Linked DNA regions of Diceros bicornis minor. Each later gene encodes a partner of the first gene's protein in a complex. Links are inferred from orthologs where the notes say so. Each region holds a gene or a part of one and is shown in the gene's direction. Other genes may lie near its edges. The genes, in order: NCAPG, NCAPH, NCAPD2 and SMC4.

The links.
Region 2: the proteins of NCAPG (region 1) and NCAPH are in contact, whole or in part, in a crystal structure (PDB 6IGX), measured with the Homo sapiens proteins. The link is inferred for Diceros bicornis minor from reciprocal best matches to the Homo sapiens genes NCAPG and NCAPH. Residues at the interface, in NP_071741.2 of Homo sapiens: Lys11, Phe14, Arg15, Gln18, His50, Tyr51, Lys53, Tyr54, Val55, Met56, Val57, Glu62, Ala64, Val65, Val68, Phe102, Ser106, Glu108, Ala109, Asn110, Ser111, Val114, Arg115, Ile149, Arg150, Lys152, Asp153, Lys154, Arg159, Glu188; in NP_056156.2 of Homo sapiens: Glu471, Ile472, Asp473, Phe474, Glu475, Asp476, Asp477, Ile478, Phe480, Val482, Tyr483, Phe484, Arg485, Lys486, Thr487, Ala489, Ala490, Thr491, Ile492, Leu493, Gln501, Asn502, Trp503, Ala505, Thr506, Thr507, Leu508, Phe512, Tyr514, Val516.
Region 3: NCAPG (region 1) and NCAPD2 share a complex: the UniProt entries of both Homo sapiens proteins name them as parts of the condensin complex. The link is inferred for Diceros bicornis minor from reciprocal best matches to the Homo sapiens genes NCAPG and NCAPD2.
Region 4: NCAPG (region 1) and SMC4 share a complex: the UniProt entries of both Homo sapiens proteins name them as parts of the condensin complex. The link is inferred for Diceros bicornis minor from reciprocal best matches to the Homo sapiens genes NCAPG and SMC4.

The regions. Positions count from the first base shown.
Region 1 is NC_080747.1:14,138,893-14,146,314, forward strand, and holds the start of NCAPG (condensin complex subunit 3), read left to right. Parts: upstream 1-4,379; 5' UTR 4,380-4,473; coding exon 4,474-4,584; intron 4,585-5,569; coding exon 5,570-5,773; intron 5,774-6,288; coding exon 6,289-6,517; intron 6,518-7,422. UniProt on the Homo sapiens protein: Regulatory subunit of the condensin complex, a complex required for conversion of interphase chromatin into mitotic-like condense chromosomes.
Region 2 is NC_080779.1:16,183,397-16,191,194, reverse strand, and holds the start of NCAPH (condensin complex subunit 2), read left to right. Parts: upstream 1-4,759; 5' UTR 4,760-4,819; coding exon 4,820-4,838; intron 4,839-5,153; exon of another isoform or gene 5,154-6,022; intron 6,023-7,798. UniProt on the Homo sapiens protein: Regulatory subunit of the condensin complex, a complex required for conversion of interphase chromatin into mitotic-like condense chromosomes.
Region 3 is NC_080756.1:55,179,474-55,187,313, reverse strand, and holds the start of NCAPD2 (condensin complex subunit 1), read left to right. Parts: upstream 1-4,801; 5' UTR 4,802-5,134; exon of another isoform or gene 5,135-5,147; intron 5,148-5,925; 5' UTR 5,926-5,948; coding exon 5,949-6,075; intron 6,076-7,840. Other genes in the region: MRPL51 (large ribosomal subunit protein mL51), read right to left, coding at 3,141-3,337, 3,774-3,884, 3,969-4,047. UniProt on the Homo sapiens protein: Regulatory subunit of the condensin complex, a complex required for conversion of interphase chromatin into mitotic-like condense chromosomes.
Region 4 is NC_080754.1:66,299,599-66,307,640, forward strand, and holds the start of SMC4 (structural maintenance of chromosomes protein 4), read left to right. Parts: upstream 1-5,030; 5' UTR 5,031-5,203; intron 5,204-5,920; 5' UTR 5,921-5,930; coding exon 5,931-6,039; intron 6,040-6,876; coding exon 6,877-7,055; intron 7,056-7,526; coding exon 7,527-7,718; intron 7,719-8,042. Other genes in the region: IFT80 (intraflagellar transport protein 80 homolog), read right to left, coding at 4,582-4,665. UniProt on the Homo sapiens protein: Central component of the condensin complex, a complex required for conversion of interphase chromatin into mitotic-like condense chromosomes.

The DNA.
Region 1 (7,422 bases):
AGAAATATACACAGCCACATGGATGGACTAAACGCATAGCTCTAAATGAAAAAAGCAAAAACCAAAATATCAACATCCCATTTACGCCATTCTGTAGGAGTGATTTCCAAAATGAACGTCAGTAAACAGGTCTAGTTTCAAATATACACAGAGTTGTGCTAATAAGGTCATACCGTATGTCTTCACATCAGTAATATTCCTTTAAAGAATATTTCTCCGGCTTCCACATGTTCTTTCTATCTAATTCAGTTCCCAGCATTGTGTGGCACATATCAGGGGCTTAGAAAATTTTTTAAAAGAATTAAAGAGAGAATGACGAAGTCCTGCTATAAGTAACAATACAAGTGTGTTCTATTTTTATTCTAGGGAGACAAAAATTTCCAAATTATATTCAGGTAATTTGGTAATATGTGGGACAAAGACAAATGAAAATTTTTTTAAAGCAGGATCAACAATGATGCTACTAAAGCAATATAAAGGGAACTGCTTATAACCTAAGCTTTAAGAAGAAACATGAATGCAAATACTTTGAAGTTTATATTATTACCTAGTTCAATCTGAAAACAAAAAGAAAATTCGAAACATACCACAAGTCTTTATTTTACTAATTGAGACAGGCTAAGCTATTGGCTTTTAATTCTTCTGTTCTCTTATATTTTTACTATTTTCAATCCATCGCCAAGATTATTAATTGGCTATACTTCAATTATGTTACTCAAAGCTTTCTTTAAAAGGCTCACTCTACTTTTTTAGCAGAAATAAGACAGTCTCTTTGAAGGCATATATAAATTCTAGAGTGAACGCATCACTGCTACTCCTTTACATGCCATGTGCATAATTTTCCCATATCAAAATTGAATTAACCACATCTACTCTATATACTCCCATGTATAATTTACCTTTAAAGAATGATTTTTCTGTGATTTCAGAACTAGATAGCCTTACCATACAAATTCTTTAGTTTCATTATTTCTTCAACTAAACTAAGTTTACCCAGAATAGGAAGAGACGTATTCCCATAGTTGCTATTATTTGTTTTTTTCCCATAGCACTAAAAGCAAAGTCAATAAACAGGTAAGCTTTAAGGCAGTGAGACTGATGTTTAGGGTTAATATAGCATCTTTTTTACCAGCTTTACTGAGGTATGATTGACAAATTGTATACATTTAACATGTACAATGTGATGTTTTGATATATGTATTCACTATGAAATGATCACAATCAAGCTATAGCCATCACCTCACAGTTACCATTTTTGTGTGTGGTAAAAACACTTGAGATCTACTCTTTTAGCAAATTTCAAAGTATATATAATTATTAACTATAGTTACCACGCTGTAGATTAGGCCTCCAGAACTTACTCATCTTATAATTCAAAGTTTATACCCTTTGACCAATATCTCCCCATTTCCTCTACCTGCCAGCCACTGGTAACGATCATTCTTCTCTTTGTTACCATGAGTTTGAGTTGACTTTTTTAGACTCCACATATAAGTGGGATCACTCAATATTTGTCTTTCTGTGTCTGACTTATTTCACATAGCAGAATGTCTTCCAGGTTGACTTGTGCTTTTCAAATTATAGGATTTCCTTCCTTATTAAGACTGAATAGTATTCCATTGTGTATGTGTGTGTGTGTATACACCACATCTTTACCATTTACCCTTCCACGGACACTTAGGTTTTTTCCATATCTTGGCTTGTGACTAATGCTGCAATAAACATGCAAGTGCAGACATATCTTTGAGATAGTGATTTTATTTCCTTTGAATATATACCCAGAGAGAAGTGAGATGGCTGGAGCATATGGCAAAGATTTTTAATTTTTTGAGGAAACTCCATACTGTTTTCTATAATAGCTGTATCAATTCACATTCTCATCAACATTAACAAGGGTTCCCTTTTCTCCACATTCTTACCAACACTTATCTTTTGACTTTTTAATAAGTCACCCTAACGGGTGTGAGGTGATGTCCTACAGTGGTTTTGATTTGCACTTGATGAGTAGTGATGGTAAGCATCTTTTCATATACCTGTTGGCTATTTGTATGTCTTCTTGGGAAAAATGTCTATTCAGGTCCTTTGCCATTTTTTAATAAAGTTATTTGTTTTTTTGAGTTGTATGAGTTCCTTATATATTTTGAATATTAACTCCTTATGGGCTGTACGGTTTGCAAATATTTTCTCCTATTCCAAAGGTTGCCTTTTCAGTTTGAAATCTAGTATCTTTTTTTAAATTTTTCAGATTATAATGTTCAATAAATACTGAACAAAAACATGTTATTAATCCTAAAAAAAAGCTAATCAAAATATAGTTAGGCTGACCTCTGGTGGCCAGACCCTTCATCCTTCTGTAACTGACAAAATGGTATGAAGTCATCTCTCATTTGTGGTGAAACAATCATATAAAATAAAGGAAATAATATTGTTAGAAACTTCACAGTCAAACAAAGCAATAAAGGTATCAGGGACCCAAAGCATAAAGAAAGCTGAGTAATTAACGGCCACAGAATAAGAAAAATGCCTCCAAATATTAGTTTGTTCTAATTTTCTGTTTACTAGTTGACTTTACATGTAAAACGAATGGCATATACAGTGGTTCTCAAAGTAAGAATCCGTAGTTTTGCATTGTCCAATACTGTAGCCACTAGCCACGTGTGCCTACCTGAAATATAGCTAGTGTAAAATAATACCCAATTTCAAAGACTTAGCAGGGAAAAAAAAGAATGTAAATTATCTCATTAATAATTTATGCTGATTACATGTTGAAATGATAATATTTTGGATATACTTCCTTAAAAAATTAATGCCCTTTCTAGGTTTCTTTCACCACAACTTTCCAGGCATTCTGCCTTTTAGCTATAGTGAGATTATAAATGTTATCAGTATAGGTATTCCATGCATTCTTAGGGCTCTATGCTTCTCCTCCAGCTGATTAACCTAAAATACTTACCCTTCTCACCTTTTCAGAAACTAGACATCTTGTAATTTTTAAATTACTGGCAACCCAAATGCTACTATATTCATTACTTTAACTAGCATTTGAATACCTACAACATTTCAGGAATTAGGAATATGAAACAAGAGAATGGATGAATAAATTATGGCATATTCATACAATAGAATACTACAGCAACCCGTCTGTGCCTCAGTTTCCTCATCTCAAAAGGAGACAGAAGTTACCTTACAGGGGTTATTTGTAAGGATTAAATGAAGTTAAGTGTTGATAACAGTGCCTAGCACATAAGAGCCCACAAGGTTTAAGTTATTATCATGAAAGTATCAATATGAACAAACCTCAAAAAAAATACTGATCGAAAACAGCAAGCTGCATGTATGATTACTCATATAATGTTAGAATGTGAAAACAATACAATATACCTATCCTGTGATTTATTCATGTCGTTAATACATAAAAATGGACAGTAAATTCAGAAAATCAGTTACAGCTGGGGAGGGAAGGTAATTCATAGTAACTGTATACAGGCGGCTTTTAATCTATTTCTTTAGCTGGTTGTGGGTACGGAGGTGTTCGTTTTTGTCTGATATAATTCCATTTTTTTAAAAAAGCTTAAAGGCTTAGTTCCTGCTCCAAGGCACTCCAAATTTATCTTAACCACTACCTAAACACTTTTCCATTCTCTGTTTTCTGCTTTGTCGAATACCTTGTCGTTATGCACCTTTGTAACCGGGCCTCGAAAGCGGGTACATTTGGAATAAGCTGTATCTAAATTAAACCGTGCCTCCTTTTGCAGCGGTTCTCGGACGGTCTCCCTCCTTTGCAGACCCTCCACAAACCGAGGACCTAAGGCTTAAAAAGACGGCGGCGCCTCCATCATCAGACCTCGGAACGCCCCCCTCGGCAGACCCGGCAACGTTTCCCTTCTTCGTAGAAGCCGGGCCGCTGGCCGCCCCCCTATCTTTCCCTTCTCGACGGATCTCCAAATGTACCCCTCCTCCCGGGATCCCCTGCTCCCCTTCAGGCGGAGCAGGGATTGTTCCCTTCAGCAGATTCCCTGTTCTCACCCATGGAGGCTCCTTTCTCCTTTCGCGCCTCACGCCCAGCCACACGACCCGGCTAGGCCTAGCGCCACGAGCTCTGTCCCAACAGAAGCAGCGCCACTCCGCTCACCCTCCCTGCCGGCACCACTTCCGGGGGAGCCGGCGCCCCCTCCTCTTAGAAACGCCACTTCCCACTCGGATAATGACTGGATTGAGGCTAAGCGCATGCGCCCAAACGCCGGGGTTTGAGGGAGGGGTGGATCCATCTCTTCCCGCTCTCGCCTCTTGAAGCTCTCGCGGCAGTCTCGCGGTATTTCCGTCTCCCGCGGGAGTTATTTAAACAGTCTGGCGGTAACCACGCCCTGGGCGCCCAGCGGCGGCTGACGGGACTCTGCGGCTACTCGGCCTGTGGTCGGTCCGGCAGCTGCAGCCGAGCGCGGACAGGGCTCGTCCCAGCGGGGTCCCGGCGCCATGGGGGTGGAGAAGAGGCTGCTGCCGGTGAAGGAGGTCTTTCGGCTGGCGCAGCAGCCGCACCAGAATCAGGCGAAGCTGGTGAGGGCGCTGAGCCGCACCTACGGCCTGGTAAGCGCGGCCGGCCCGCGGTCCCGGGCGCCCCGCCGCCCCGCCCTCCCCGGCCAGCCTCCCCCAGCCTCCCCCAGGGGCCTCCGCTGACCCTCCGGACTCGGCGCCGCGACGCCAACCTCCTTACCCTTCCCGACCCGGTTCGGGGACAGGTCTGGCGACTTGCCCGAGGTCGCCCGGGCACCCCCCCTCTTCACAGCGGCCTTGGCGCGGACCGTTAATCGTTTGTCGGGCGGTGAACTCGGAGAGGAACGTTTACGGGCACCGGGGCTGCCGGGCACCAAGTCTTGGGCCGCAGGGTAGCTCCTGGACGCGGTGGTCGTGTCCCTCGGGTCTCCGCCCACAGCGACCGCCAGTCACAGCATTCTCACCTCGCCCCCCGGGTACATTGAGTCAAACCACCAAAGAGCAGATGCGTCATTAGCACCTGGCTCTTCTGTTCGCGTGAATACTGTTTGTTTTGGGGGTTTGTTTTGTTTTGTTTTTGAGTGGAGCTGTGAGAAGAATAGGGCAGTGAATTTCGGGAAAATAAATTATCTGGAAGTCCAAGAAAAATGGTGAGTCAGTATAACAGGGCTTGAGGATATGAGAAGGGATGTGAAAGTTATGTCAAAAGGAAATTGGTGTGTCGATAAGGCTACATATGGTAAAATGTAAAAGCCCTGTTGGTTTTGGGTTGTTCATGAAGCGTATTTAAACCGGTACCAAGGCGTATGGAGAATTCAAGGGTATTGGAAAAAAAAAAATACCAAAGGAATCCGTTCACTGTCAAAATTCGCGTTTGTTTTCTCCCTAGGAGAATTAAATGTCCCTGGAGAGAAATTCGTGCAAATTCATGTCCCCTTTGATGGTTTGGATAATTGAGAGTTTACTAAATAATTTTGGTTTGTCTGAGTTATGGCTAGTGCTTTCAGCAGTCTTAGGGTAATGTTGGGAAAAAAGGATTTTATCAGTGCAGTTTGTGAAGGTTTCTTTTGTCTTTCAGATGGATAATAAAACAGTTTTTCATGAGGAGTTCGTTCATTACCTTAAATATGCTATGGTGGTCTATAAACGAGAACCAGCTGTGGAGAGGGTCGTAGAATTTGCAGCCAAGTTTGTTACTTCCTTTCACCAGTCAGATCCGGAAGATGAGGAGGAAGAGGAAGATGGTGACATTTTAAATTATTTGTTTACTTTTCTATTAAAGGTATTATGAAAACTAGAACTTTGGGAAGTACTGTAGAAAATTTTACTATATTAAAAGGGACCTGGGAGTGTGTATGTTTTAGAGAATGAAATATCTGATAATGGAGAACGTCTGTGAATGAGTCTGCTTTTTATAGGAAATATTAGAACTGTCGTTAAGATTAAAAGGTGGACTTTTAAAATAACTCCAGCGTTAAATTTTTAGTGACTTCTCTAAACCAGTTATCACATACATGTGTTTTAAATGAGTTCTCTATTTTGGAAGTAAAGTAAGAGTTCCTACAGAGGGGAATATGCTCTTGTAATTGAGCCCATATTTACTTCTGACTGTATATTTTGAGCTTTTATATATTGTATATTTAGTTTTCCTATGAGTCAAGGTAGCATTATGGTTTCTCTGCAAGGAATGAATTACCTTTGTAACGTCTTGAATTCTAAACATATAATTCAAATGGTGTGTGATTATTTAGTAATAGTATGTGACTATGAATAAATTTTGATGTGTTTCTGTTTCAGTCTCATGAAGCAAACAGCAATGCAGTTAGATTTAGAGTGTGCCAGCTCATAAACAAGCTTTTGGGAAGTATGCCAGAAAATGCCCAGATTGATGATGAGTTGTTTGATAAAATTAATGAAGCCATGCTTATTAGATTGAAAGATAAAATTCCAAATGTGAGGATACAGGCAGTTCTGGCTCTTTCACGTCTTCAGGATCCCAAAGATGATGAATGCCCAGTGGTTAATGGTACGTGTAGCTCCCTAAATCCTTTTTCACTTTCGTTGACTTTGTTAAATTCTCATTAGACAAATTTTTTTATTATGAATTATATGTATGGATGAGTATAGGTGTTTTATATATATTATTTTAAAAAAATACCCAAGTAGCCACTGCCTAACTTGAAAAAATAGAGCATCATCAGTACCCTTGAAACCTATCTTACGTCCCACCCCAATTACATACATCACTGTCCCTCAGAGTTAACCATTATCCTGAATTTTGGGTTAATTATTCTCTTGCCTTTTTATTTAAACAATTAACCACATGTATGTATCTCTAAATAATGTTAAATTTTGCCTGTCATTTTGTATGCTATGTGGATCATACTATATTTTTCTGTGCTCTCAACATTATTTCTAATTGTAGCATTCATCCATGTTGATATATTTATTTACTGTTGTATAGTGTTCTGTTGTATGAATGTAACACAGTTTAATATTTCTAATATTGATGGACCTTCTAGTTGTTTCCAGTTATTTTGCTGTTAAACAGTGTTGTTATGAACTTTCTTATACATGGCTTCTGGTGCACAGGCTCAAGTTTTTCTAGGGTATTTACCTAGGGGTGAACTTGTTGGAGTATGTGTGAATTCAGCTTTATTAGATGAGGTACAAGTGTTCTACAAAACAATTTACCAATTAACATTCCCACTAATAGTGCATGAAAGTGTTCAATTGATTTAGATCCTCTCCAGTGTTTGGTACTGTCAGATTTTTAACTTTTTGTTAATCTGGTTATGTGTATGATATACGTCATTGTTATGCATCTTTTCCTATATTTAGCAGCCAATTATATTTCTTCTATGTAATGCCTGTTAAAGTGTTCTGCCTGTTTTTTTGTTCGTTTGTTTTATTGATTTATTGGAGTTCTTT
Region 2 (7,798 bases), on another chromosome or scaffold:
TTGTCCCAGAATTGAGATAATGTATTTACTAAAATTAAAGAGCCAAAATCTGATGAGCTTCTCAGTGCCTGGAAGCAACATTATAAAACCCTTAATGAAGACAATCTTTTGGGGGGCTCTGAGATGAACAATTACTGTTTCTGGGGGAGCCACTTGTTTGTTAAATGGAAAGAAGGTTGAGCCACCATGTGTAGCTGTCTGTGCTTTTTCTCAGTCTGGTAATGCCTTTGTATTCCCTTTTCAAAGATCACAAAGGGATTATTTGAACTGTGTTTGCGGTTTTGTAAAGTGGGGTCATCACAATCCAGGCCCATTGCCAGGGTTGGACGGGAAGGGACTGTGCAGCAGTCCAGTTCTAACAAACTCTGGATTCTGGAGATGTGGTTGGTATATCTTTCCCTTCTTTTAAACCCTTGGGCATCCTGAGGAGGAGTGCTAAGAAATGTGACTCTAGCTGTGGGTGTGGTTGTTTTGGGAATACCAATGCTCTTCCTACCCTGCATGCCAGGAAGATCTGCTGGGGAGGAGAACCTGGCCCCACATTTAATTTGACTCAGGGGGGTTTAGATCCTGGCTGTATGGGCTTTGGTTGTAGAATCCACACCCTCCCCCCAGCAAAAATAAATTACAAGTGTCCCAGAAGCTGATGCCAGTCAATAGTTGGGGCTCCCACTGCCAATAGCTGCTGTGTTCCCCTGTTGTCTGCTGGTATCTGCCAGGTACTGCTTTCGAGTTAAGATGCAATGATGGTTGGTTCGATGCTAGTGGGATTTTCATGTTTTATAAACATTCATATGCCTTTTGTTTAGAAAATAATTTGCTGGTGTTTTGCTTCCAAATCAATAAAGGAGGCTATTTTCTGTATCAGTTGGCATCCGTGCAATGACACACACAGCACATCAGCATTCTCACATGCCTGTTCCCAAGAAGTTCATGTTACCCTGATAGCTTCATCCAGTACATCCTGGTATTTCTCAACGTACCTTGAACCCGTCTGCCCTGTGGTTTCCCAGTGGCATGGCCAGTAGCCAGAAAAGAATAATTCAGAATATGAAGGAACATTGAAGGTATTCATTTGCATGGTGCCCTAAATATCAGCCAAATTAAAAGATCTCAGTGGCTGCAAACAACATGCGTAAGCTCTAGAAGGCATAAGTCTGTCAGGTAGAAAGAAGGTGGTATGTTCTAGAACTGCATGGGTTCTAGTCTAGTAAGAGGCAAGAAAGAAAACGTAAAGTTATGAGTGGGCAGAAGACTACAAAGGGAACAGTCAGTGAAGCCTGGGTGGGGCAGAGGGTGTAAGAAAGAGTATAGAAAAAACAAGTAGTAATGGAAAGAACAGAGCTGGAGTGCTCTGGGAATACTCTTACAATGAAAGTGGAAACTTCTCCAGATATGTAGGAAGCTGAGTTTTATTCTGAAACAATACCTGGCTGGCACCCAGGATATAACAGCAGTTAAAGTAATGGGAATCCTTAGCGTCCATTGAGCACTGCCAATGGTCCACGCACTGGGCTAAATGCTTCACATCTGGTAACTCATTTAATCCTCACACTATAACCCCATGAAGTGGGTGCTTTATCTCCATTTTACTATGAGGAAACTGAGTCACAGAAAGGGTACACAACTTCCCCAAGGTCACACAGCTAGTAAATAGCAGAGTCTGGAAGAAAATACCTGTCCTAGCAACCTTCCAGCATGGTTTTGGGAATAAAACAAGATGTAAGGGTTAAAGTGCTTGGAAAAGCAAAAAACGTTATATTAATTTTAAGATAAAGGGTAGCATGTTGTTTGGAAATTCTAGAAGACAGAAATTGTTGGTTCTTAGCCCAGTCTTTAGGAGGTCAGGAATTTCATATCACATACAAAAATTAAAGGCATTTGCTCAGAGGCCAAAATGAATGCAAAGCCATTTCAACTACATGCCTGTTGAGCCCCAGTGACTTGATGGTTTATATCATGAACTACATTATGATATAAGCCTGCTGCAGCCTGGAAGGTCGGGGCAAATTTGAAGGCAAAAGATTGCTTGTTCAGGTAGCCAACTGATTGACACTATTGTTCCTCACCTAAGCTAAGGCTGTTTGCCCTCCATTTTGAGGAAGTAGAATCTTGGCGAGGAGTGAAATGGGGAAGGGGAACCAGTGCTGCTTTTCTGGCAGACAAGGAGTCGGGGAGGGGCCCCACTACTTTATTTTTGTACAAAGGAAATGAGCTTTGCATAGCACTGATACCACTGATAAATCATTCACTCTTATGGCACCCTCATAGTCCTAACCCCAAACAACAAAGACGGCATTCAGAGTGGGAGGTGAATGATCTGTGTGCCTGCACCCAGTGGGCCTGGCCCACAGAAACGCAGGGGGTGGAGCTGGCTCTGCCTTCCAGCACATGAGTCCCAAGCAGTCAGCTCAGGAGGCTCCATTATAACCAGAGAACAGCCTCATGCCTCACCTAACGGGTCACCTAGTAGCCTCCTCTGCCAGGAGTTCCAAGCCAGTTCTTCAGAGGCTCCTCATTCAGTGCAACCTACCACCCTCCCAACCCCCACTGCTCTTAGTTGGCACACACACGGAACCCAGAGGATCACAACCTGTTCCCACTCTCCTCTCTCAAATGCACAGTGCTCCACTTCAGCGGCCCGGGGTTCCCGGGTTCAGAACCCCGGGCACAGACCTACACAGTGCTCATCAAGCCATGCTGTGGCAGCATCCCACATACAAACTAGAGGAAGACTAGCACAGATGTTAGTTCAGGGACAATGTTCCTCACCAAAAAAAAAAAATCAAATGCATTCAGCACAGAGGGAACAAGTGAGTGAGATGACAGGGACTCTAGTGTACTCTGAGCCCATGTGCTCACAAGTTTAATCTAATACCTAATTCCTCATCAAGCCCAGAGAAAGACGGTTTTATCATCACTATTTTATAAATGGGGAAGAAAATGAAGCCCAGAGATGTTCAGATGCCCAATCCAGGATTTAAACTTGTCTTCCAATATCGTTCATTCAATACATACTTAAGTACTTGCTGTGTCCAGGGCTAGCACCAGGCCCTGGGAAAACAATGGTGAGCAAAGACACAGCTTTGTCCTCATGGAGGTGACAGTCTATGGAGGAGCCAGACATGAAAGAGTCACCCCAGCAGATGTAAAATTGCAAAGGTGACAAGTTCTACTAAAGCCTCCAGTAAGAACAATTGAGCGATATCAGGGAAGGCCTCCTTGAGGAAGTGACGTGAACTGAAACCTGACGGTAGCTAACCGGGTGAAGATGGGCATGAAGAGGATCCTATGTGGAGGACGTGGCATGTGCAGAGGCCTTGTGGTGGGAGCAGGCATGGTGAGGGTGAGTCTGAAAGAAGGTCCAGGTGACTGGAGGGCAGGGAGCAAGGGGAGGCAAGGTGCAAGATGAGCCTGGAGAGGCTGCAGGGACCAGACCCTGCAGGGCCTTGTAGATCACTTTAGAAGTTTCCAGAGCAGTGGAACTTGAGAGTGGTTTTAGACTTTGGGGAGGAAGTGACAGGTCGGATTTGTCCTTAGCAACCACCACCCTGGGCCCAATGAGAAGCGGGTCAGAGTGGGTGTGGGGCTGCTGCAGATGAGCAAGAAAATAATGTGGATGGAAAGGAGAGATGCAGGATTGAAGAGATTTTTTAGGAAGTAAAGAGCTCAACGATGGATTGTACAGTGTGGAGAGTGAGGGGAGGGAGGCATCCAGGATGGCTCCTGTGAGCTGATTTGGGTTCTTGGGAGGCTGTATTCACTGAGACGAAGAATACTGTAAACTTTTTCTCTATCCCACACTGCCTTACGCTAAAGATTTGAAGGTGGTCGCTGGGAGCACAAGTTCCTGAAAAACCAAATAGGTGTAAAAAGTGGTTTTCAACAAAGGGTAGTGCTTTTTGGTTGCCAGAATGACTGAGGGGCACTGATGGCATGGAGTGGGCAAATGGTGTCAGGGTTGCTGAACAGTCCTACAAAGAGAGCAAGAGTCCCACACGTCAAGAACTGTTTCATCCTGAATGCCAATAGCATCCTTAAGAAACACTATAAAATGCCAGGTGTGTATTATAAGAAACTATAGGATGTTCTAGGGATATTTGGAGGAATTGTCCTGGCCTTTTCCTCCCATAATACAATTCTTGGGATCAGATGAAGCAGAATGAAGGGATAGGTGGCACATGACACCCGTCTCATTTCCAACCTTAACTTTTTTTTTTTGAACGGGGGGTGGAGATATCCAGGAAGCTTTTCTCAAAATTCTGAACAAAAACGATGGCCTTCCTTTAAAAATCTACATGCAACATTTTGCATCTGTCCTTCCCCTGCCTGGAACGCGCCTCATTCCGGTGTGGGCTCCTTTTCATCTCCGTCCCACACCCAGCCCATCACTTGCTACCTCCTTAGCGTTTTGCTACCCTCACAGCACAGGTCGCTATGGGAAATCAACTCGTTTCCTGGTAATCCGCTTCCCCCATTAGAAAGTAAATTCCGTGAAAGCAGAGCCCTCGCCCTTCCTGCTCCACGCTGGGTCCTTAGCGCCCAGTTCCGCGTCCAGCGCCGAAAGCAGGGAGTTTTCATACCATTTCGGAAGGGTGCACGAACCCGCTACAGTACAACCACCGGATCCCAGTCCCGAGCCCTCAATCCGCGACGTCTCACTCCTCCGCGGCTGGCGCGAACCTTTTCCCGCGGAGGACAAGGAGGTCTGCGCAGGCGCGCCCCTGGCCCCGCCCACAGGCGACGTCACTCGGGCCGTTACGGCGCGCAGGCTGTTACGGCGCGCGATTTAAACCGCTCCAGCGACGCGGGGAGAGAGATGGGAACTCTCTGCCCAGGTGAGGCTGGGTGGGAGGGGGGCGCTGCGGGGGGGGCCCGGCGCGAAGCGGTGCTCCGAGCGGGCAGGGCAAGCGGGCCTGAGCGGGGAGTGCGGATGTTCTCCGCCTTGTTCTCTGCGGGCCGAGGGGGAGTGAGGCCGGCGGCGGGGAAGGGACAGGCGGCGGGTGGAGTGCGCTCCGCCAATCAGGACGCGGCTCTGGCCAGCGTCGGGAGCGCGCGCGGGCCGGCCCCACTCGTCGGTTCCCGAGCGGGGTGTGGGGCGCCCTCCCCGCTGGGGTCCTACACCGTGCCTGGTGTCTCTCCATTAAGAAGGGGGTGTTCCTGGAGTGCACGTTAGTTAGGACCCTCGAGGCGTTGTGGTTACCGCTGTATGCTTAGCGCGCACGCATCTGGTTTTACATTCGTTCAACAAGTACTGAGCGCTCCCTTTGGGCCAGACCCTCGGTCAGGTGCAGAGATACAGTAAAGAACAAAACAGACACGATCCCAACCTCTGGGAGCTTGTATTTTAGTTGAGGAGACACAGTAAACAAACGAAACAATTACAGATGAGGCTGTGATTGAGAAAAGCGGAGTGGGGGAGGGGCCCCTATGGATTAGGGATTCAGGGAAGATCTTAAAGCAGAGACTGGGCAACGTGTTCCAGGCAGAAGGAGGCAGTGCAAAGGGCAAGCAGGAAAGCCTGGCTTGGGCTAGGATGGGAACACTGGCTAAATAGTGAGGTCACTCAGGTAGCCAGGGACTTTGTAGGTCTTGGTAAGAGGTTTGGAAATTTAGAGTTACGTTTTGGACATAGTAAATGACTTACCCGAGAGACAGTCAGGTGAAGGAGTAAATAAACACTTGGATAAGAGTTTGACACTTAGGGGAGTGATATGGGTCAGGAAAGTGGCCCATGGATTTAGAAATAAGTTTGGACATCATCATCATCATCATGTAGATCGTAAAACCGTGAGATGACCGTGAGATGACTAGGAAGACCCTGTAGAGAAAGCACCCAGGGCCAACATTTAGAAGCTGGATAGGGAAGGAAGAGCTGGAAAAACTCAGAAGAAAGTGGTATCATAGAGGCCAAGATTGTTTCACGAAGCAGGAGGTTGTCAGCTGTTTCAGATACTGTTGACTCTCAAGAGAGATGAGACCTGAAAAGTGACCGTTGGATTGAGTGACCTGGAAGTTGCAGGTGATTGTGATAAGATGCTTTTCATTAAGTTGGGGGATGGGAGCCAGACCGGAGGTGAGGAAGTGGTTGCAGAAAGTGTTTTTGAGCTCAGTAACCATCTGTTGAATGAACAGGTGCATGATATTAAAGGCAACGAGGGAAATCAAAGAATATTCCAAGAATTGAAGCGTGTGTCTAATTCCCATCTTGAGTCTCCCTCCTAGACAAGTTCCTCCCTCAGTGCTTCCTATTTCTGTTAAGGTCTCTTCTGCCAAGGTCCAGTTCCCTTCCTTACCTTGCAGTGCCCACACCGAATAGTCACAAGCCTTTTTGGTTCAGTCTCTAAAAATGCCTCTTGCCTCCTTCCGTTTTTACTTTTTCTTTTGTTTGTTTTGACCTCAGCTGAGAGTCATGTTAATCATACACTTCAGCTGGTGGGAAGCTATTCGGGGAAAATGTAAAGTTCTTGTATTTTTTTTTATTCTCTTTTGTCTCTATTCACCACTCCTTTTCCCTTTCCCCTCACATGGGCAATCATTTAGTATTTATTGTGTATCACTGTTTTTAGTGTGTTCCTATAAAATGTTATATTGTACTTTTTTTTTTCTTTGTGAGGAAGATCAGCCCTGAGCTAACATCTGATGCCAATCCTCCTCTTTTTCCTGAGGAAGATTGGCTCTGAGCTAACATCCGTGCCCGTCTTCCTCTACTTTATATGAGACACTGCCACAGCATGGCTCGACAAGCAGTGTGTCGGTGCGTGCCCGGGGTCCAAACCAGCGAACCCTGGGCCGCTGCAGCGGAGAGCGTGCACTTAACCGCTTGCGCCACTGGGCTGGCCCCCTATATTGTGCTTTTTTTTATATCACCAGTTCTGAACCAGCTGAGATGAACATTCTTGTTCTCATTTGGAGGATGAAGAAGCAGGTGCTTGGAGTATTTACTTGCTTGAAATTTCTCCAGCTGGTTAGTGATGGAGCTGGGGTTTGAAGCCAAGCCTTCTGATTCTTAAATCTGGAAACTCCCTTAAGGTCTCTCAGTTCCTTCATCTCTTTCTTCCAGTGATCTTGTTTCTTGCCCTACCATAATAGGCCATAGCCACTGACTACCGTAGTCACTCCGTGACTTTGTCATTATCAACAGCTGCAACCACTCTATCTCAATCTTAAGCACCCCACTTCCACTCATATCTTTCCACCTCCCTCCCCCTTGTTCCCCGACGCCAACAGTCTTTTGACCCGGCAGACCTATGTTCTGCTTTTCACTGTCCCTCATCTCTCATGTCCTCGTTCCCCTCCTTACTTAGCTTACATGCCGTGGTCAGTCAACATAATCGCTCCCTTTCATACACCTGTAACTCCTTGCCGTCTTGCTTCTTTACACCCGCTTGACAAAATCATAACCCTGGTTAATCCCGGCTCTTCCCCAGCCACTGCACACTGATAGCTTCAAGGGGCCCTAGAGCTGCCCAGCAGTCATGCTGTGTTCCCTGCTTCTTCCCTCTCCTTCTCCTGGATGACTGTTCCCTAATCTCCTTTCTCTCCTAAAGTCGCCAGTACCTCGTCCCTAGCCCTCACCCTTAGCTGCTGAGTTTTTGGTTTTTATTCACCTCCTATTTTACTAAGAAGATAAAAGCAATCAAAAGAGAACATCCGCAAGTCTGCCATTGCACCCCCTCCCCTCTCTGCATCTGTGCCTGTGTTCTCTGCCTTCCTGTTGCTATGGATGGGCTGTCTGTGCTCTCAGCAAAGGCAACACCTTTACCTGCTTGAGTACATTGTTTAGCAACTTTTCCCC
Region 3 (7,840 bases), on another chromosome or scaffold:
CCTATCTTTGCCATGCACTTTAGCTCCACCAATAAATACCACTCACAGCTTTCCCATACACACCATGCTGTTTCTCTCCTCTGGACCTTTGTTTCTGTTTCATCTGCCTGGAAAACCTGCTAGCTTCTACTCCTTTAAGACAACTCAGTAATGGCCTTCTCCAGAAGGCCTTCCCTACCCCCACTCCTGCTCCCCCAGGATGAGATGTGTCCCTCTTCTCTATACTTATGTATATAGGTATTAACAAGCTTTAAATGCCATGATAGGGGCCGGCCTGGTGGCTTAGCGGTTAAGTGCGCACGCTCTGCTACTGGCGGCCCGGGTTTGAATCCCGGGTTCGCACCGCGCACCAACGCACCGCTTCTCCGGCCATGCTGAGGCCGTGTCCCACATACAGCAACTAGAACGATGTGCAACTATGACATACAACTATCTACTGGGGCTTCGGGGAAGAAAAAAAGGAGGAGGATTGGCAATAGATGTTAGCTCAGAGCCCGTCTTCCTCAGCAAAAAGAGGAGGATTAGCACGGATGCTAGCTCAGGGCTGATCTCCCTCACAAAAAAATAAAAAATAAAAAAAATAAATGCCATGATATAATGAATTTTATAATTATTCTTCTTTGTGTGCCTCCTGCACTAAGTAGAATTCTTTAAATGCAGGAGTAGTATCTTTTTTTTCCTTGTATCCCTAGCACCTACTGGTGGCCTTCAGTGAATGGCTGTTGAATGAAGGACTCCTAGAGATATTTATCAAGGGCCTATTAAGAGCCAGTACACAGAGACCAGATATTAGATTACTGCAGTTATCAAATAAGGGCAAGACAGTCCCTGCCCTCAGTGGGGATGAGGCATACTTAATGGGGAAGACAGACACAAAGACACATAAATCCAAGTAAAATCAAAAAGCAAAAATATTATGAGTTAGAGCCTCAGACAAATCAAAGAAAAGGGACCTTAAAAGGCATTCCCTTTCCTTCTTCCATTTTCCAAAGCAGTAATACCCAGACCTGTCTGATTCCAAAGGCCATATTCACCAATAGCCTATACCAGAGACTAGCCATTATCAACCCTCCAAGAAACACAAATAGCACTTTTAACCCACATAAAAGATTTCTTTAAAAGCAATACATCAAATACTTTCCTTATTTCATTCTGCAAATATTTATTGAGAGTCTACTTTAGGCACTGCAGACATCCTAAATTTAACCCTAATCAATACACGATTGTAGAAATTGCAGCGACATTTTTCTCCTCTCAATTGGGTAATGTCAAACTTACTTGATTCACAGCCAAGCAAGTTTTTAAAAGTCAGAAGAGCAGATAGTGTCCTACTTCATTCTAGCTAGATCTACCTCGCCACCTCCCAACAGATCTGTGTTCTCTCACCACACACCACTCATCACTCGTCTCTGCCCCAGTGGAAATGCTTTCTCTGCTTACTGAAATCCAATCTCTTGTATGAAGCCTCTCCCGATTAGGCCAAATATATTCTCTTATCTAGGTCATTTATTGTCCACATCAGTGCTTTCCACACACTGCTAAATTCACCCGACTGCTTTTAAAATTAGAATTACCTAAATTTAAGGGAGTCATACTTTGAAAAAGCAAAAGCCTGGAAACAATCTAAATGTCTATCAAAATGGAACTAGTTAAATCATTACGGTACATAATGTGAGGATATAAAACAGTATCCAAGGTATATTAAGTGAAAAAGGTACAGAACAGTGTGCACAGAATCTTTTTTTAAAAGGAGATAGTTAATAAACTTCACATGCATAGTGTACGTCCAGAAGGATTAAAAAGACTTGTAAGAGTAGTTGCCTCTGAAAAGCACAAAAAAACAGGCCGTGAGAAGACTTTTCATCTGATTACCCTTTTGTAATTTTTAAATTTTGTGTTGTTTGTATAGATACATTTTTTGTAATTATTAAAAAAACACACACAGATGCATAAGACTCAGCTCAGCTCTACAGATCACAAATCTTTGGGGGCAGGGCCCAGGCCTTTGAAATTATTAAACCACCCAGATGATTCTGATGATCAGTCAGGCTGGGGAACCACCCTTTCAAACCACTCATATGGTCCTTAATGCCTCATATTGAAGTGTACATGTGAGAATATAACTTGATACCCCTAACTGGAAAAGCATATGGAGGGAATGGGAAGGATATATTATGCTTTTTTGTTTTTCCTACAGTTCTCAGCTGAGAAAAGTTACCCAATATTTTTTTATGAGAATAGTGCAGAAGTACAACTCCATTTTTCTACTACATTTCATTCCAGTATGGAAAGGTTTGTAAAAGCACATTTAACATAACAGCATTATGGGGCAATTAAAAATTACCACTTTCAGGGCCCGGCCCGGTGGCGCAAGCGGTTAAGTGCGCGCGCTCCGCTGCGGCGGCCCGGGGTTCGCTGGTTCGGATCCCGGGCGCGCACCGACGCACTGCTTGGTAAGCCATGCTGTGGCGGCGTCCCATATAAAAGTGGAGGAAGATGGGCACCGATGTTAGCCCAGGGCCGTCTTCCTCAGCAAAAAAAGAGGAGGATTGGCGGATGTTAGCTCAGGGCTGATCTCCTCACAAAAAAAAAAAAAAAAAAAAAAAAAAAATTACCACTTTCAGGGGCCGCCCCGTAGCTTGGCGGTTAAGTGCGTGCGCTCCGCTACTGGCGGCCTGGGTTTGGATCCCGGGCGTGCACCGATGCACCGCTTCTCCGGCCATGCTGAGGCTGCCTCCCACATACAGCAACTAGAAAGATGTGCAACTATGACATACAACTATCTACTAGGCCTTTGGGGAGAAAAAGCGGAAAAAAAAAATCACCACTTTCTATACATGAAGGGCCAAATGTCCAAAAATGCCAACAATAATCTTTTTTAAAGGCCATAGGTATGGCTAGACTGCAAAGGGCAAGTGGTGAAGTCCAAACCTAAGACTTAGGGAAGGGTCAGACTGCATAGTCTAGATGAACAGGTAAAAACAGCATCTAGAGGAAAACAAAGTGTGTGGATAACAGATTCCAAAGAAGCTCCATTTTATTACAGAGAGCATACAAATCCCTTTCCTCTTAAGGGAAAGTACTGTCCCTCTTCTGCTGGGGGATAGATGTGCCTCTTCCACAGCTCCCAGCTTTCTCTTCTACCGATACTTTCCATGTCGGTTAAAGTGTTTGTAGAGATAGCTGATGCGTTTGTTAAGGTTGTGCAGGTCATCAATGAACATCCGATTTCCAACCATTTTCTTCTTTCGGATACAACGCTGCAATTCATTCCCCTTCCAGCCTCGAAGCCATCTGGGGCCCCTGATCAGTTCTTTGGGGTGCTTTTCAAAGTTTCCTGTGTAATGTGAGAGAACATATTAGCTCCAAGAGGAGAGAACCCACCCTCCACCAGCTAAGCTTTCAACACACAGTTGCATCCTCCTGAGCAACACCCACAGACAAGACACATTACACTACAGTATCAAGAGAACACACTCTGGAGGTAGACTGCTTGGGGTTCAATTCTTACACTCCCATTTACTAGCTTTGAAAAATTACTTAACCTCGCTGTGCCTCAGTTTCCTCACCTGTAAAGTGAAAAGGTTATTATGAGGATTAAATGAGTTAATACATGTAGGGCACTCAGAACAGTGCAGAACACAACGTAAACAGCCACACAAGTGTTTGCTCTTACGACTGACAAAGGTACCATTCCTACACAGGTGAAAAAAAGATAGTCGCTACGGCATAATTGCCATTCTGAAATCCTGTACCATGAAGTCGAGTCTTACCCAGGATCCCAACGTTGTCATACACCCCGAACATGGCCCTCTTCTCGTTCCAACGATCAACTACTTTGGGGGGCGGGAGGGTGACCCTTACATGGAACAATCCAGGAACACCTAGGGATGGGGAAGAAAGGGAATAAATCTGAGCCGCTTACTGAGAAGCAGTTCTCTGGACGTCTTTCCACATCAGCCACTTACCCAGAGAGAAGCTTCTGCAAGCCAGGGGCACCCAGCCCCTTAAGGCCCTGCCTGCCATCCAAGAGAGGCTCCCTGCCATGGCTCTCGTCTCCGCCCTACAACAGCACACCGCACGCGCAGAAGAGCGAGGGCCAGACGTAGTCTTCAAGGAAAGCACCGGGACTGCCCCAGCCGACCTCACACGGGTACTACACGGAGGCAGCCATCTTGGGCTTTACCCAGGTAGCTCCGGGCGCAGGGCCCGCCTTGACCCCGCCTCCCCCACCACAAGCCCCACCCTCCGGGTTCCGGTTCGCGGAGGCCTCTACACCTCACGCCTCCAACCCGCCCGCCTAGGCGCTTCCGGCCTCCGCGCCGGAAGCTCTGGAGCGCCAGGCTTGCTCAGGGATTCATCTCGTCGTTATGCAGGGCGCCTCAAAACTGAATTTCAAGAAAACTCACCCTTTCCTGTTTCCTTGGGCATCCCTCAACTGTGAGGGAGATGAGGGTCCAGAACCTGGAACCCAAAGCTTCCTGTCTCTGTGCCTCACAGCAGCTTTGCGCTGTAGCTGTTATTAGCCCTATTCTACTGGGGAGGAAATCTGAGGCTCAGAGTGAAGTGACCTGCTGGACGTCACACAGCAGACGAGATGGCGGAACCTGGATTAGAGCCTAAACCTTCTAACTCCCGGCCTGGACTCGCCGCCTGTCCTGGGGGTGACTGAGTGGGTCTCTATCCCAGGGGCACTACCACTGCCCACCTTGATACGCGGCATTTCTGGCAGGCACTGCCCGGGCCGCCTCCCCACCGACCGGGGAAGAGGAGGACCCAGTGGGCGGGAGGCAGCCGCAGGACTAGGGGGGCTGGGGACGGGGGGCTGGAGTCCGAGTCTAGGCCCCGCCCCTCCCTCGGCGGCGCCGCCGGGCTTTCCGGCTCCTGCGCTGTGATTGGCCTGTTTCTGCAGCGAGCGTCGCGATTGGCCCCCTTGCGGCCGTTGAGTTTTGAACTCCTGTTTGCGGTTTTGCCCGCGCGGCGCGGGGCTCTGAGACGGGTTTTTGCCTCCGCCTGCCGGGGATTGGCCGGTTTCTCTGCCTTCTTGAGTGCTGCCTAACTGATTGGTGCGCACTGTGCACCCCGTGTTTTCTCGTTTGTTTCAGCCCCACAACCCGAATCGGAGGAACGGAGGGTGAGGTTCTCGGGTAAGGTGTGATGTTAGTGGGGAGCGGGGAATGAAGGGCCGGGAAGATCGGGTCCGGGGCAGTGGGCCGCGGTGGTAGCAGCGTGCGAGAGGCAGGCGGTCTGGTGGATGTATCCTTGCGGAACGATGTGGTAGAAACAGGATGTCTGGCATCTGCAGCGGAATTGGGGCAAATCGCTTAAACCTTTCTTAGCCTCGATTTCCTTATCTGTAAATTGGCTTGTATTATTTTGCATTCCATGAGATTGGAGTTTGGAGAATTAGATCAGATATGATATATTCAAATAGCCCAGCAAAATCTGGCGAAGAGTAAACAAGCAGTAAGTGTTAATACCCTCCCATCTGGAGCCAGGAAACCCACTAGCCCGTGCTGGGCCGCTGTTCTGGCCTCAGGTGAGACATTCTATACTTAAGTTTTGCCCATAAAAACAGAAATAATAATGCTAACTTAACGCATTGGTATGCCACTTTACAGTTCTTTAAACACTTTCATACCCCTTGACTCATTTGATCCTCAAAGCAACTTTGTAAAGTAATCAAAGATTAGTAATCCTGTCTTACAGATGAGGCCCAGGGGGTTAAGTGACATGACCAAGTGGCTGAGTTGCAACTAGAAATTAGATTCTACTCCAGGGTCCATCTCACATCCTCTAAGATAATGTTATCAGCTTGATGTAAGACTGAAAAAGCATTATATGTTGGAAGAGGGGGTGAAATAATGGGACCAGGTAAAAAGGCCTTAAATACAGACCCTGACCTGTTGGCTGTCTGGTTTCCAGCCAGGTGAGCCAGTGGGAGAAGGATGTCTCCCCAACTGTTTGAGTTCCGTCTGCCCTTATCCCCGGAGGAATTGTTGAAAAGTGGAGGAGTGAATCAGTATGTTGTTCAAGAGGTACTGTCCATCAGAAATCTTCCCTCACAGCTTAGAGGTAAGACTCCATAGCTGCCGCTGTGCCTAGCACTTCAGAACAACCCTCCCACATGTAATTTATCGTCTCTCTGTTCCACTACACCACTAAGCTCCATGAGGGCAAGGAACGTCTTTCCTATTCCGTACTGTTTTCACCCTAGCACTGTGTACAGGAAGAGTACACTCATTGACTACCTTCTCTCAGTTGTTCAGTAAACAGTCTTGGTGTATATGGTTACTTTTGGGGTGAAAAATTATTTTAGATCTTTATCTCTTACCATATGCCAAAATAAAGTCCTGGTGGATTTAAGAATTATAGGAGAAGATAGCTTTCTCAGAATGTCTGGGACTTGACCTGACCTGTTTCAGGTAACACTTTTTTGGAGTCTAGATCTCTTGTTTCCAAGAGTGTTCAATAATCCAAAAAAACATAATGTATATGTACAGCTGGAACACTGTACAGTATATGTACAATGCAATTACCTGTTGAAACCTATAGATGACCCAGAACAGTTTATGCATTATCAGCAAGACCTGTAATGTCACTGTACTTATTGGAAATGGTCTTGTATCCGTTAGGTTGCTTTGGAGGGGTACATAGAGTAGAGACTAAGACTCTGGAGCCAAGCTGCCTGAAGTTGAATCCTGGCTCTACCACTCTGACCTTGGACAAGTTACTTATTCTCTTTGTCTCGGTTTCTTTATCTGTAAAGACAGGGATAATAACCTACTGCATTTATTATCTGCTACAACAAGAAGGGGTGGTTAATGCAGCAGCTTGATAATATAACTCCAGCTTGTCTCTTGGCCGTCCCATCATGATTGCCAGGTGGCAGCTCTTTGCTCTCATGTCCAGAGGTAGAAAAGGGGATTTCCTATCTTGTTCTTTTTCCTTTCTTCTTTCTCTTTTTAAAACTTTACCAGAAGCCTCCCAACCAGAATTGGATCATGTGCCTATTTCCCTAACTAATTACTGGTAAGGGAAATAGAATTACCCAGATTGGCTAAATTGATCAAGATTATTACCTAGGAGCCTCCCCAAACCTGGGCATATCACCATTTGGTAAGCAAGGAACAAGCTGGAGTGTGGAGGTTGACTGATGGGTGGCCAGCCAACAATGTCCATAGATAAACTGTTCTCTCCATGTTGTGTGGATATGTGTATCACCAATTGCACATGCTGTACAAGATAGCAAACTCTTGTTCAGTTATTATAATGCATTATTTTTTTAAATGGATGATCACTCTCTTTAAGAGTTCTTTTTTTGACAATTGCTTTGCTTTTGGTGTTTAGAACCCTAAATACAAATTCTACTATAAATATACAAGATAAAATCTAATTTGTGCAACAAGTATTTACTAATGATATGCTATTTGCCAGGCAGTGTTCTAGGCACTGGAGATACAACAGTAAACAAAACAGACAAGATGACGAAGTTCTTTCTCTCAAGGCTCTCACCAAGTAATTAATAAATATGGAATATGTCAGATGGTTGTTTAAGTGCTAAGGAGAAAAATAAATCAAGATAAAAAGGATACAGTGTGCCAGGGTAGGGACTGGCATTTTATGTTGGATGATTAGAGAAGGCTTGCTGATAGGTGACATTTAAGCAGAGACCTTAAAAGTGAAGACTGTGCAGATTCTCAAGGAATGGCATTCCAAGCAGACAGAAGAGCAGTGCCAAGGCCTGAGATGGGAAAGTGCCAGTATGGTTGGAGTGGAGGAGGCTAGGAAAAAAAGAGGTCAGGTGGGAAGTGGTGCAGATTATTCTAGAGTCTTGTTC
Region 4 (8,042 bases), on another chromosome or scaffold:
TGTTAGCCCAGGGCCAGTCTTCCTCAGCAAAAAGAGGAGGATTGGCAGATGTTAGCTCAGGGCTGATCTTCCTCACAAAAAAATAAATAAATAAATAAACCTAACAATGGTTATATTTTTTTTCACAAGATCACCATTTTCATTCTCTTTGCAGTCTCTACCGTACTTTACCCCCTTCTTATTGCAACTCTCACCTAGTAATCTTCCAGATACGGTACTTTGTTTTCTTCCTTATATAAAATGGGGCTAATAATACCTACTTCACAGGTTGGTTATGAAGATTAAATGAGATCAAGGACGTAAAATATCCAGTAGAGTGCCTAGAACATAGTAAGAACCTAACAATCATTAGATCTTTGTAGTGAAAATTGATGTCTTTGTCACTCTTCACATATTCACTCTTTTCCTAGCTACAAAGAATTTCTCCTTGGAACACCCACTTTCTCACTCTTAGCCCATGTGGCTTGAATGGAGCCAGCATGAGACCCAGATTTAAGCCAATTAGAGCATTCCATTCCCTTTGTACTAAGACTGTTTCACAGATGGCCCAGGACTTTTATTCAAATAAATCATGGGGAAGAAAAACTCTCCTTACCCTCAGTCCTTAATTTTAGAAGATTTGAGGCTGGAGTTACTATATCTTACCACAGCAAAGGGAGAGCCTGGAGGTGCCAGAGGCCACTACATGGAGCCCGAGAACAATGCCACGACAAAGGAACGCAAAGGAAAGCAAAGAAAGAATCCGAATCCTGGTGTCTTTGTTTGGACACTGAATCCAGTTATACTCATCTGCCTTTTTCGTTATGAGAGCCAATATGTTTTTCTCAAGACAATTTGGATTCGGTTTTCTGTCACTTATAATCTAGAGAGTCCTACCTGAAACATTGCTATAATTATTTCTTCTTCCTAGATTCTAAGAATGGACATTTTCTGGGTGATCCTCTCTTTACTCACAACCTTAAAAACCTAATCTATTTTTAGCATTCCAACTATTCTTATAACACTATCTCATCCTGTTTTCTCTACTGAGCCTATTCTCTCTTATCCTATTCTCCACCTCTACCGCCCACTGGATATATCTTTCCTAATCCCAACCTACATGAATAAAAACAAACTCATCTTTCAAAACGGTCTTTCTCCCCAAACTGTTCCACTTCTTCACTTCCTACTGTTTCTGTATTAAGACGGATGAGAGTTTCAGCAAGATTAATGTACTAGGGGGCTTATATTATCAAGAGGAATATTCATTACTATCTGTCCTGTGTCTATATCCTATTTATTAATCTTGAATAATATTCTCTAAGTATTTATACATTAGTTACATAAATTCATGTTTATTTGTTCATTTTGAATTATTAGTTAATATCTAATTAATCCAAATATTTACAATTACAAACTTGATTAATATTTTTAAACATTTACCCACAAATCTAATTTAAGACAATGAAATGTTATAACCACATTAGAAGACAGACAAAACACATGTTATTGCTATAATAACAAAACTTAACCACGCACTTAAAGAATTATAAATGTGGATTTTAACTCTAATTCCAATTCTTCTCTTTGAACTTATTCTTATTTCTTCCTGTGGGATACAATTTTACTTTTAAAATGTAAAATGTGAAAGTTCTCCTCTCAGACTCAGTATAGATAACGGTTGTTAGTAGATGATTTTGGACCAGAAAGATGAAACTTGGTTATACTTTCCAAAATGACTGTAACCTAGTCCATTCCAATTGGACCAGCTTCTTTTTATAATTAAACTCTGTTAATTTCATGAGACTTATCCAAAGCATTAGCAGGCCTCAATCGAGTACTTCTTGTGACCCTGATCTCTTCTCAAATCACTTCTTCATTTATTCAGCGTCCTACTTTCACTCTAGACTTAAGTCTACTCTGTAGCTGTTTGTTATGAATGCCTTTTCTACATTATACAACCTGGTTTAAGCCTGTTTTTGTGTGTGTGTGTGAGGAAGATCAGCCCTGAGCTAACATCCGATGCCAATCTTCCTCTTTTTGCTGAGGAAGAATGGCTCTGGGCTAACATCTGTGCCCATCTTCCTCTACTTTATATGGGACACCGCCACAGCATGGCTTGACAAGTGGTGCGTCAGTGGGCACCAGGGATCCGAACCTGTGAATCCTGGACCGCGGAAGTAGAACGCGCGCACCTAACCGCTACACCACCAGGCCGGCCCTCAGTTTAAGCCTGTTTGAAAATATTTGCTCTGAGTGGAACATGGTTAGGTTCAACTAAATCTAAAGCCATCGATCACTTTATTGATCTATTGAAATTATATTTCTTTTTCATCAGTCGTTAAGATCTACCATTATTTACAGTAATCATCAAAGGCAGTAAACTAGGATTTATCTGTGACTTATCCTTCTTCCTATCCCCTCATCACTAATTCAGGGATTTATAAACAAAGAACGGTATCTGACTAACTTTAAGGGTTTAGACTCTTTTTTTTTAAAGAACATTTATTGAGATCATAGTGTACTGGAAATGTCCTAAACCTTTATCAGTTATTTTTTTCCTCTTTTGCTGAGGAAGATCCACCCTGAGCTAACATCTGTTGCGAATCTTGTTTTTTTTTTTTTTTCCTTGAGGAAGATTAGCCTGAGCTCACATCTTTGCCAATCTTCCTCTGTTTTGTACATGGGTCCTGCCACAGCATGGCTGACAAATGGTGTACGTCCATGCTCGGGGTCTGAACCCACGAACCTGGCCACTGAAGTGCAGTCTGCCAAACTTAACCACTATACCATGGAGCTGGCCCAGGGTTTAGACCCTTAACCATTAAAATCTGCAAAAGCTATAGATTTTTTTCCCCTTAAATGTGTCTGGATTTTTTCCATTCTATTTGTAGGCACTTCTCACCGTCCACATGGAGGACTGTACAGTAATAATCTAACTAAGTCATGCCTGATCTCAGTCTCTTTCCCCTTTAACACAATCCACATAACTACTGTTAATTTTTGTTTTTTACCAAGTCATTCCTTAGCTCAAATTTTTTCTAATAGGTGTTTCCTCCATATCATATCTAACACCCTTGACCTGGCTTTCAAGACCCTTCATTAGTTAACCTTTTTCTAACTTGACATCCCATTATTCATCCTTAGCACATACCCTAAGAAGGTCAATGTCATGAACACAGCAATATCAAATGCATATAGCATGTGTGCTAGATGAACAATCATAACCAATCCTATGAGGTGGGTATTATATGCTGGTTTTATAGTAAATACTGTCAGAGAGTTGATAAATTAAGTTGTTCAAGAACGTAGCTAAAAAATGATAGGATTTGGGATTCTTTTCTCCGTTACATCTTTCTACTACATTGTGCTCTATCTCCCATATACACCACTCAACATGGTCTAGACCTGCTTTTTTCATGGTTGATATCTCTCCAACTCAGGTTTTGCAGTGTTTTACAAACTTCGAAAATCCAACAGATTCCAGAAGCTCTCAAAGAGAATTGCTACATTTTCTTGGTATGCCAAAGAATTTCTCTCATTGAGCTTTATTGTCTGTAGTTTGTCTTATGAAAATAATAATTCTTTTTTCAACTTCAAATGTAAAGGTATATTATAATATCTATTCAAACCACAGTTTCCCAACCTCATCTAATACACCTGCAAGGAGTGTCCTTCACACCCCTTCTTGAGAATCCCTGGACCAGGCCTGACGCTCCTCAGGGCAAAAGTCATAATACTTACTTAGAATCACAACGTAAATTCATTCATAAAGCAGATTTATTGGTGCTTTAGTATGCCAGGCCCTAAGTACACAAAAGTTAAAGGAAAAAAAGACGGTCCCAGTTCTCACTGTCAAGTACGTAAGAGTCGCTGAATAAATACTTACTCAAGGTAGTCAAATCAACCAGTTAACATTGTGGGGCATTAGGACCACGTTTGAGAATCTGATCAAAGTTCTGGGAAAACTAACTCCCCAGAAAAATGCACAAACACACAGAATTTTGTATATAGTTTCCGGGGGGGTTATGAACTCCTTTGACGCCCAATCACCTACCACCAGATCCACAGATTCCAGATTAAAAACCCACTAACAAAACTAACATCTCTGGAACAGGAATACTTGCTTAATAATCCTGATTATGCCTTGCACAGTGTAATATACACAAAAGCTACTTAAGAAATATTTGCCGATCGATAATTTTCTCATAAAGAGAACCAGATGACACTGGCAAATCGTTTCTTCCATTACGGAGTTTTTCAGTCAAATGATTTTAAAGGCCCAAAACCCCGTTTCACCAGTGACGCTAATGACCTAACCTCAGTAAATCAAAATCGTTATTTTGCTTTTCACATGTGGACTACACGATCGTTCAGCAATTCAGGTCCTCTCTCCTCCTTGCTGTCCCACCACTCCCTCCACACTCATGGCTTCCTCCTTGGCATCCCAAAAGTTCCGTCCAGAGCCCCACTGCCCCCAGGGAGACGGAAAACAACTGACGCTCTGCGCCGCACACACCGTCTAAGCAGGATGGTGGGATCCAGTGATGGCCACAACTTCCAAACCCTTTCCGCACGACGTCTGGAAGGGAAGAGATTTACCTTAAGGTCCAGGAAAGCGGTGGCACTTGTTATCGCAGAGCTAGGACCGGTTACCAAGCAGCCTCGCAACCTCCCTGTCACCATAGTGACTTCTAAGATCTACGCTCACTGCGTCTTCCCGCGATACTTCACCGCCGCGCGCCACCCGAGCGGGCCCGAGGCCCCGCCCTCAGCGAGCCCGCCCTCTCCTTCAGGGACGTTATTGGACGACTGAGCCCCGCCTCTAGCTGTGGGCGGAACCCCACTCTTTTTTTTCGTGTGTTTCAGAACTCGCCAGATTGTTTTTCTTTTTTTAATTTGTTATAAAAGTGGTGTTGCCGTAGGCCATCGGGAAAACACTGTTTCGCTCTTCCTTTTCTCTTAGTAGAAACATCCCCTGCCGCGTGGGTCCCGCCAAGAGTTCGCGGCTGCGCGTGAGCGACCAGAAGATGGCGGTGATAATCGCCGCATTTTTTTCAAATTAGTGGTTCCCAGAAAGCACTGCGCGCATTTGTAACGAATTTCCGTTCGAGTTTGTATTTTAGGCGCCATTTTCGAGTGAAGGACCCGGAGCCGAAACACCGGTAGGAGACCGGGGGCTGCGCAGCCGGTCCCAGCCCCGGTCTGAGTGGACTGTCCGCAGGTAAAGGCCTTCCTTCCTGCCCAGGCTCTCCCACTCTCCCTTCTCGTCCGTCGGCGGGCCCCGGGCAGAGGCCGGCGCCGGGCGGCGCGTCCGGGCTGCGGCGGGGGCTCTCCGGCTGTCACCCCTCCCCCGCGCTCCCGCCGCCGTCGGGGGTCCGTCGGCCGCGCGGAGCTCTTCCAGGGAACACGGGCTCTCCCGGGCAGGGGCGTCGCCCCACCCCGACCGCGGGTCCGAGCCCGTCCTGCTGACCCTTCGTAGTCGATGACCCAGCGGCTTGTGCCGCGCCCCGAGGGACCGACGCCGCCGCCCGGGTGACTGAGCCGAGCCCGGCTACCCGCGCCCAGTTGGGAAGCGGGGAGCGGGCGACCGCGGCGGGCGGCCATTGGAGGAGTCTCCCGGCCCGAGGCGGGAATGGCATCTCCGGGCGCGTGACCTCGGTTAGGAGGACACGAGAACATTCTGTGACTCCTGTACCGTGGGCGAATGGGGGGCATTACAGAAAGCAGAAGGACCGAAGGCCCGGGCACGTCTGGGTTCCCCCGCTCCCTTAGCACTGGGATCTAAGCGATCCCCCCCGCCGCCGGGCACCTGGGGTCTTGTGCCTGCCTTCCCGAGGCCGGCTGGCCGGAGCGGGCTTGGAGAACGGCCCTCAGGGCCCGGAGGACGGGGTTTTCCCGTCGGGCCGGGCCCGGCTGACCGGCTCCCGCCCTCCCCCAGCCCAGCCACCATGCCCCGCAGAGGCAGCCAGCCCTCTACCGCCCGGCGCCGAGAGGAAGGGCCGCCGCGGTCCCCGGACGGCCCCGGCCGCGCCGCCAGCCCGGCCGCCGAGGCCGCAGGTGAGTGCCGGCCGCCCGCGGGGGAGCGAGCCGCGCGGGGAGCGGGTGGAGGGCTGCGGGGTGGCGTTGGAGGTCGCGTGTCGGGCCCCCAGAGCAGCTCAAGAAAGCGAGTTGGCGATTTTCAGAGATTGGACTTCGCGCACTGTCTCTGTAGCGGTGCTGGAGGGGATGGGGGCGAGCAGTGGCTTCAAGTGTGCGTTTGTGGCCTTGTGTTTCCGCGGCAAGCGGCGCGGGCAGCCAGTGTCCGACAGAAGCAACCTGCCTGTATGCTAATACGATGAAAAGTTGCTTGACACTTACTCACCTCACCTCCGGGGTCTTCAGTTGCGTTTAAACAGAAGATGAGAATTGACTCGGAACCGCATCGCTTTTGTGAGTCCGGGAGTTGGATGACATTATGCAACTCCTGTGACAGTATCGCTGGAGCTCGTGAGTGTCCGAAGTTAGGGTTCCAGGCTAACCCTAAGTTAGGCTCCGTCTCAAAGAGACGGAGAGAGCTGCATTTAACCACCTGTTTAGGCGGGAGCAGGGAATTAGGTTGTTGTGGTTTCCCCAGATTTGCTTGATGATGTAGTGTTTTGATTCCTAAGAGGTGTATTTCTATAGAATTTTGTGACTGGTGGCATTTCTTTCAACAATTTTTTTTTTTTTTTTTAAATAAAACCAAGCTGAAAGATTCTTATCCCCGGTGAGTTTAGGAGAGTATTATATTTAAGTGGAAAATAAAGGTTCATAAAGAATATGTCTCCAGAGATTAGCAGGCATTAGTCCTCCGAACTAATTGCACTAATGCAGATTTTTTTTTCCTTTGCCTTCCGTTTTCTCTGCCTGATTTAGAGACTCCAAGTGAGGAAATTGATAATAGAAGTTTAGAAGAGATTCTAAATAGCATCCCTCCTCCCCCACCTCCAGCAATGACCAATGAAGCTGGAGCTCCTCGGCTTATGATAACTCATATTGTAAACCAGAACTTCAAATCCTATGCTGGGGAAAAAATTCTGGGCCCTTTTCATAAGGTATTTGACCATTTGAAATAACTGTTATAAGGTAATGTGTCTTTATTATAAGATGTTTCAATTGTGTAACTATTGTAATTATCCTGATCAATACACACAGGGCATGTTTCCTATCCTTTTAACCACTGGATTTAGCTTTTGTTTATCTGGTTATCTTTGGTACCTCTTTATGCTGTAAAGTTTTCCTCGCTAAATAGAATTGGTGAGTTTTTTGTTTGAAGGGTGTGTTTTCTCTATTAGAATGAATTTTGTAAAAACTCTGAGTGAGAATTAGAATATAGTCTTATTTAATGTGTTGAAGCTTGTGATGGAGGAGAACATGATGTGACAACTTAAGTTGTGTTATCTTCTAGCAGTAAAAACTTTGAATAGTTGTAGTTTGCTGCAGGTAAAAAAATCAAGCAGATTAAAATCAGTAGAATTAGTATGACTTTTTTAACTTTATTTTTTTTTTCTGTTCTTTTTATGCAGCGCTTTTCCTGTATTATTGGACCAAATGGCAGTGGCAAATCCAATGTTATTGATTCTATGCTTTTTGTGTTTGGCTATCGAGCACAAAAAATAAGATCTAAAAAACTCTCGGTACTAATACACAATTCTGATGAACACAAGGACATTCAGAGTTGTACTGTAGAAGTTCATTTTCAAAAGATAATTGATAAGGTAGGGGACTTGGACTATTTAGCTATTTGTAACTTCAAATAAGGAACACAAAAGATTTCAATACATTGCACATTTTATTATTTTTGGCTTAAATTGGCCTTCAAATATTAGTATATGGTTAAAGCAGAACAGATATTGATTTCATTACCCCCATGACCATATTTTCTTTTTGAGGAGTGGTGGTGGCTGCCATTAAACTTAAAATATTAAAATTTTTAGCCAGGGAAATGAATTACAAGTAGCTCATAGTAGTGCTTACCTTTTTGAAATAAAACATTGAGCAGTTTTAGTATCCTAAGAACTAAATAGGCATTCGTTTACTAT